Macaca mulatta: one gene and its partner. The protein of the gene in region 1 interacts with the protein of each later gene in a pairwise test. Links are inferred from orthologs where the notes say so. Each region holds a gene or a part of one and is shown on either strand. Other genes may lie near its edges. The genes, in order: UTP14A and SMYD1.

Region 1 (3,817 bases):
GTCTGGGTGCGGTGGCTCACACTTGTAATCCTAACACTTTGGGAGGCTGAGGTGAGAGGATAGCTTGAGGCCAGGAATTCAAGACCAGCCTGGGCAACAGAGCAAGACCTCAGTCTCTACAAAAACGTAGCTCAGCATGGTGGCACATACATGTAGTCCCAGCTAGTTGGGAGGCTGAGCCAAGAGGATCGCTTGAGCCTGGGAGGTCTTAGGCTGCAGTAAGGTATGATTGTACTACTGTACTCCAGCCTGGATGACAGAGCAAAACCCTGTCTCTTAAACAAAAAAAAGTAGAAAAAAAATAATTTTTTTTTTGCCATGTAAAACCAGATTTTTGCCGTCATCTAAATGCATTCCTATGTGGAACCAAACCAGACCTGGTAATTTGTCCAGATAGCCAAGTGATTTCTCAATGTAGGTAGTTTTCCTAGGCAGGCTTTTTAGTGTCCTGGTTTATTGCCAGAAATGGGAACTCTGACCAATCTCACAGGTGCTAACACTGTTAATAAGATCTCTTCAAGATAACAGGTAGAAAATATAAAGTACAAATAGAGCCTGAGCATGGAGTCACAATTCTAATTTGCCATGTAGCCCCGTGGAGTCATTCATTCCATAAAGTCTCACCCCATGTAGACACACATAAACTAGAATTAAGAAATGCTAAAAATGCCACTCCTACTTAACCAACAAAACAAAAAAATCCGGCAATTAGAAGATGTTTCCTAATGTCTCAAAATTGACCTATCTGTGCCTATAGGTGTGAATGGACTTTCAGATTTGCCATTCTACCATATGTACTTCTCCCTGGTGTGTAGGTACCAGGAACACTAACTCACACCCTAACTTCAAGGATGGTTTAGTTATTATGGCTTTCCGAAGGCTGTAAGCCCCCCAAAACAGAAAATGTGCCTGAACCACGTTGCATGGCCATGCAGATGAGTGCTTATTAAATGCCTTCAAAGAAGAGTAGTTATGAATGTAATTTCTCTACAGGGATCCAGTGCATGCACTCTTGCAAGTCCCTAGAGCCTAATCACTATGCAGTTGTGTGTGTGGGTGGACACATTTTTTTTTTCTCCCATAGTCTGTCCACAGCACTAGGAATTTCTCCCTTCCATTTGATCACAGCTCACCTTTTGTTTCTTGACTGCCTGCTGGCTCAGCATCCTGGCTGAGCTCAGACCTTTTTCTAAGGGATCGCCTTTCCTCAAATTCTCTCAACAAAATTTCTTCTTCTGCCACTGGTCTGTCTTCTCCCTCACTTTCAGAAACTTCGTGGGCCTCAGGCTCTGGCAGTTGCTCAGGGTCCTCCTGGGTTGCAGCCTCTTTGGTGTCACTGGTACAGCTCCTGAGCATCCAGGGATTCGGCCCGTCTGCATTCATCTGCACTTCATTCACTACATCAGGGACAAGGAGTTCTTCCACTTTTTCTTCTGTGCCTCCCTCCTCTTCCTCACTCTCAGAGGCTACCTGGAGTTTCTGTGTTAGTTCTTTGTTCTTGGCCAACTGTTCCTGCATAGCTTGGCGAGCCTGGAGGAAAGAGTCACAGCATGAGAGCCCTGTCATTAGTGATTGCAATAATACCTTTCCTGGTCCATTTCATAAAGCTGCCTCCTCTCGATTTGACTTGGTATTTCTTACTGGTACCTACTGTTTAAACTGCATATACAATGCTGGGTTAATAGCTGTGGTATAAAATGGAAGACAAATTCTTTGTCTTCAAGGAATCAACAGGTGAAATAAGATTTTAAAAAGCTCCTCTCCCGCTTTGGACTTGCCTTCAATGCTGTTTCCCTTTCATCTCTCCTTTTCCACCTTGTTTCTGGTCATTTTCCTTTCTGCCTTAGAGATTTTTCTGATGCCTTTTTAGATTCCTGGTTTTCCATCCATCCTCATGGCTCTTCCCCAACTCTGCTTCTGCTAGCATCCTCCAATTCCAGATCTTCTCTCACCCCAAAGGTCTCTTACCTCCAGGTCATATTTGGCCATAATTGCCTTTGACTTGGCCCATTTCCCACTGTTTTGGTGCTTAAGGCTCATTCTTTCCTAGAAAGAAAGAACAGAGTGAGATTTAGACCTTTAGTGGCTTCCAAGGAAAGCTGGTTCAAAGGGGTGGGGGTGGGGCAAGAGGTAGTCTCACCATCATTCTGGCCTTTTCAATTTTTTCCAGTTCTTCTAGTGCCGCAGCTGGGTTAACCTTCCGCAGCTGTTCAAACTCTTTTAGGGCTTTCTTGGCCTTCCCTTTCTTCACAACTTTGTGATACCTGTAGGGTAAGAGGGGTAGGAGGGAAGAGTTCAGCAATTTAGCTGAAGCATGGATGTCATAGGCACAAGTGCCCATACTACCCAATGGGTTCCCTAGGCAGGGGGCTGGAACGGGCATCATAGAGCTAGTTGGCTATAGGGAGTCAGTTTGGGACCTGAGAGGACTGGCAGGATTCTTGGTACCCACAGTCCTCAGGGTAGACCTCTGTGGCTCAAAGAGTCTCCTTTGCCTCTATAACTCAAGGGAGGAGTAGAATAAGTTTCTTTTTTTTTTTTTTTTTTTTAAGACAGTGTCTCACTCTGTCACCCAGGCTGGAGTGCAGTGATGTGATCTTGGCTCACTGCAACCTCCACCTCCTGGGTTCAAGCGATCCTCCCGCCTCAGCCTCCCAAGTAGCTGGGACTATAGGTGCACATTACCATGCCTGGCTAATTTTTGTATTTTTAGTAGAGATGGGGTTTTGCCATGTTGGCCAGGCTGGTCTTGAATTCCTTACCTCAAGTGATCCACCCACCTCAGCCTCCCAAAGTGCTGGGATTACAGGCATAAGCCACCGTGCCCAGCCAGTTTTACCAGTTGCCCAGGTTGGTCTTGAACTCCTGAGCTCAAGTGATCCATCCATCTTGGCCTCCCAAAGTGCTTGGATTACAAGCATGAGCCACCACATGTGGCCAACAAGTTTCAAACAGGCAAAAAGGCAGGAAGGAAGCCCTATTGGCCTTAACAGCTCTGGAATTCAGAGCTCATTCTGCAGAACCACTCTGTGATGCCTTGGAAGGTAGAGAAAGTAACTGAATAGTCCTCTTTTTGGCAAAACTGTATGAGGTTGGTTTGTGGGGAACAAAAGGCTAGTCACGCCTGTTTGGGACCTCATCTACATGACTCCAGTTGCCGCATCAAAGGTTCTCTCCAAAGAATTTATGATGAGCCACATGACTTTCTTCTGTGGAACCAAAGGCCAGTTCACAGGGGCCTCCTTACTTTTTACTTTTGATTTTCTTCTCTCTTCGAGCCTTGGCCTCATAGTAGGACTGCAGAGCCCGAGCCCTCTGAAGCTCTGCTCGGCGCATCTTTGCCTACAACAAATGATATTTACAGTGACATCTGGGCCAGAAGACAAATGCTAGGAGAAGCGTGGCATGCCTGGGTGTGAAGGGCCTATGACACACTTACCTCTTCCAGGCTCATAGCTTGGAGAGAGGCCTTTTCCACGGGGGTCAGTAAAGGGTCTGCCACTGGCTGCTTGTTCTTATGGAGGAGGTTGAAAATTTCCTGCTCCAGGGGAGTTCTTGCCTTAAAGAAGCAACAAAACATTCTGAGTCTTAAGCCATGCTCTTACAGCTTTCTCTCTTTACTATGATTATCTAACTTATGACACTATAATTGGAATCATAAGTGGATAGGATTGGCTGTTACAGCAAGAGAAGGGGGTTCCAGTCTTGTTGTCAGCAGTGTAAATAAAGCCTTATTTGATTCTTATATGACAACTTCAGCAGGGAGATGCTGAGGCTACTCTCTAATACTGCTGAGAAGGATCACTGTGTTCAGGTT
Region 2 (3,817 bases), on another chromosome or scaffold:
TGGGATACAGCGTTATAGAGAAAAGAAAGGAAATGACTGTGATGACATCATAGACAGTCCAGCTTGAGGAAATGGTTAATAAGTTAGTCCAACTCCCCATTTTACAGATGAGGAAACTGAGGCCCAGAAGGAAGAGACTTGGCCAAGCCCAGGTGTTTAGAGTCATAGCCAGTACTAGTACACAGGCCTCATAATTCTTCTTCCAGTATTCTTCCTACTACATTATTATGGACTTTTTTTAATGCCTGAGGAAGCATTTGCTTTTAAAAAGATATACTCAATTTTTTCCTGCTCAGTTAGTATAGGTATTTTTATTTTGAGTTGTTTTAATAGAGAAACTCAATTTGATATAAAATACAATAGAAAGTTTTTGCCTTGAATTCAGGTAGGTTCAAGCTGAAATCATCAATCTTTTATATCAAGAGAAATGCCAACTCTGCAATTCATACTGAAGACGTGTGTGTATTGTCACCAGCTGGTAACAGCATATCTAAAGTGAGGGGATGGGAACTAAAGGTCACACATAGCCTTCTGAACGATTGAAACTGCCAGGTAAACATCAAAAAGTCTAAAGAAATGACCACATGGTTGTTTTATTTTAGAACAGAGAAAAGAGGGTCTGGCCTCATAATAATAATAATAATAATAATAATAATTACATAGTGTGGAAGCAAGATATGAAACAAATACTCAGTGCCTGTCTCCAGGAAGGAAGGCTGGCTGGCTCACAGATAAGACATGCTTTCTGCAGGTTCTGAAAGGTCGGGGTGAGGGTGGGTGCAATAACAAATTCTTCTCTGTAGCGCCCATGATGTAGTGCTCAGTGCCTCTCACATACATCCAATATAAATCTCCTAGAATACAGACCTTTGCTTCTCTGAAAAGAGGTTGTTCCTATAGAAAACATTAATCCTTGGGCCCCAACTGCTTTGTCTCTTCCTGCGAAGGGTGACTCTCAATATCTTCACCCCAGGCATCACTGGTCCTCCTACTTCTGTATGGAGACCGAGTATGCTTGCATGGGCATGGGTGTGCATGTGTGTGTGTGCCTTTTAATGTTCATAAATGGTAGCATACACAGTGTTAGGGGTAAAATTGTATCCTCCCAAAATTCATATGTTGAAGTCTAGCCCCAGAAGCTACCTTAGAATGAGATCTTACTTGGCAATAGGGTCATTGCAGATGTAATTAGTTAAGGTGAGATCATACTGGAATAGAGTGGGCTCCCAACCCCATATAACTGGTGTCCTTATAAAAGAGAATGCCATGTGAGATGCCTCCATGACTGTGCTGATCCCCCTCATCCTCCCCCTGAGCACAGCTTCCCTGGAGGAAATGGACAAGAAGAGTCAGTGCTTTCTTCGGTTTTGGCTTCTCACTTAACACTATTGCAGTAAGTGATTAAATACTTCACACTCACTTCTGCTCTGTTGCTTTAACTGGCTACTCTGACACCTGGCGCCTCAGCGCTCTCTCCCAGCTCAGCTGGGCTCTTGACCTCCCGTCAGCAAGCCTTCTTCTGCTGCTCAACAGACTGACCATCAACTAGCAACAGTTACCCAGGAGTTCAGGATGTTGACCAATCTAAACATAGCCCTGTCTCCACACTGCCCATCCCCATGGGACTAGGAATATCTTTTTCATAACCAGATGACAAATATCTTTGCCCATCTGATCTCAGCACCTTAAATTCTCAACATCCCTCAACTCATAAAGGAGCAACAGGAGGAACCAAAATTTCCAGTGTCTGCTCTGTATGCCACTCCTTTTATACACATCATCTTCTTTAATCTTTATAACAACCTCTTGCAATGGGACCATCATTCCTATTTTACAGTTGAGAAAACTGGGTGACTTCCCCAAACTCAAACACCTGGCAAGTGGCAGTGCCAGGACTTAGCTGGGACCTACCCACGGTGCTCTGCTCTCATACCCTGCCTCCTCCCCAGGGTCACAGCTGCTCCCTAGGAAGCTCATGGGCAAGGCACACTGATTAGCTGTGAAACCACCTGTGACTGGCTCCTGGAGAATATGGACACAAATACCTCAGCAGCAGGGTTGCATGTACCTTGGGATTGTCTTTCACCCCCAGGAAGAGGTCGTCCTTCAGTTTTTTCTGGCAGTGTTCACATGTGCAGTCAAAGTAGTACTGCTTCTTCAACTGCCTCTTGCGTTCTTCACTGACGTTGAGGAAGTCGATGTAGGACACAGTCAGCTCCTCTCCTTCTGAGATCTTGCCCAGGGCCCGGAGCTCAATTCTGGAGCAGGGCGAAAGGAAAAGGTGGCTCGAATCCAGGCCTACTGGAATGGGATCCATGCTCTCCTCCAAGGCTTTGTGGAGTTGGGTCTCAAAGACAATGACTTTCACTGGCAGTCAGAAACCCCCATTGACTCCACAAAAGGAGAAATGTGACCTAAAGGATGATTTTGTGGATAGTTCTACTCTACTCCTTAGAACAGTCCGATCCACTCCATTCAGTTAACTGCTCTGGAATCAGCTCAAATAGACTCCTAGTAGAGAGCTGGGCTTGGTCATAAAACCAGACAGAATGTCCATGCCCATAAGTCTCCCTTTACTTTTAGCTACTGATTGTCTGTAATAAAAGAAGGAGAAATAATAAGGCAGAAACTCCAAACAAGAAAAAACTTGAAAATCTTTTCTGGTTAGTTTGGGGACTACTCTCTCAGAAACATAAAAATTCAGTTACCCACAACCTTGGCTCATTCGGTGTCTAACTCGAAGTCACCTCTTGACCTTCAGTCCAATGGTTCAGGCCAAATTACCTAACGAGACTTAGCCCACTGGAGATCATTGAAGGCAAATAAACAAAGGCTGGCTCTGTTAGCTCACTGCATTGTTCACTTTTGTGTTTATTGGGGGATGTGGCTTGTTGGTTGAAGGTCGTTAGCAAGGGCAGATGGCATTTCAGTTCCCTTCCAGCCTAGACCTGACCCTCAATTACCTATAGCACAACCCACCTTACTTAATGAGATAGGTACTGAAGATGTTGAAGGTAAAAACCTGCTGCAGAACTGACATCCAGCTGAGCCAAACAGGTAGAGGTCAGCCTGTGGATCTCTCAGCCATGCATCCTCCACCACAAGGCCAGACAGCTACAGAAAACAAGTGGTGGGCCCTGCAAGCTGGGTCCTAAACCGTGCTCCTGTACCTCCCCAGAATCCTGGGGCCTCCCTGCCTAGTGGGAAGCCATCATCCAGAGAGCAAGTGGCAGGATGCAGAGGGCTGGGGAGAGTGCCTGCACAGAGATCCATGGTCATTTCTTTTACCTCCCAGAAAGGCTCAGTTAGACACCACGCAAAAGCAAGGGCAAGACTCCAGCACCCAAGAAGAGTCCCAGTCAAAGGCAGCCCCTTCCCTGTGCTCTGAGATGACAATCAAGGAAGCAACTGCTGAATGGTAGTGACGTTCATGTCCAGGCGTCTGAGGTGACCACTGATGGATACAAATCCTTCTCCCAAAGTGAGATACACTGACACACCTATTAATGTGTTAATGTGTATAAAAACAACTCCTGTGGAGTCTGCAAAACTGAAGTGCCTGCTCACCATTTGTCACTCCTTTCCTTTGTTCCTTACCCCAATTTTCGGCAGCAGCGGTTACTGTAGTGATGAAAGGCCAGTAGGAGAGGAAGGCCGGGTGATTCTGCTCACAGTTCTGCTTAGAATCCTAGTTTGTCTGAGCTGCAGGGATGCTCATTTCACAAATGAGGATAGTGACACAAGAGGGATAGGTCCCACAGCACTTTGGGGACAGAGCCAGGATTAGAACTTCATACCATTCACGATTCCCCTCAAC

What was found.
Region 2: the proteins of UTP14A (region 1) and SMYD1 interact in binary tests that used the Homo sapiens proteins (3 or more experiments, as listed by UniProt). The link is inferred for Macaca mulatta from reciprocal best matches to the Homo sapiens genes UTP14A and SMYD1.

The regions. Positions count from the first base shown.
Region 1 is NC_133426.1:136,374,402-136,378,218, reverse strand, and holds part of UTP14A (U3 small nucleolar RNA-associated protein 14 homolog A), read right to left. Parts: intron 3,560-3,817; coding exon 3,440-3,559; intron 3,343-3,439; coding exon 3,248-3,342; intron 2,265-3,247; coding exon 2,141-2,264; intron 2,047-2,140; coding exon 1,969-2,046; intron 1,531-1,968; coding exon 1,134-1,530; intron 1-1,133. UniProt on the Homo sapiens protein: May be required for ribosome biogenesis.
Region 2 is NC_133418.1:26,063,255-26,067,071, forward strand, and holds part of SMYD1 (histone-lysine N-methyltransferase SMYD1), read right to left. Parts: intron 2,259-3,817; coding exon 2,069-2,258; intron 1-2,068. UniProt on the Homo sapiens protein: Methylates histone H3 at 'Lys-4' (H3K4me), seems able to perform both mono-, di-, and trimethylation. Acts as a transcriptional repressor. Essential for cardiomyocyte differentiation and cardiac morphogenesis.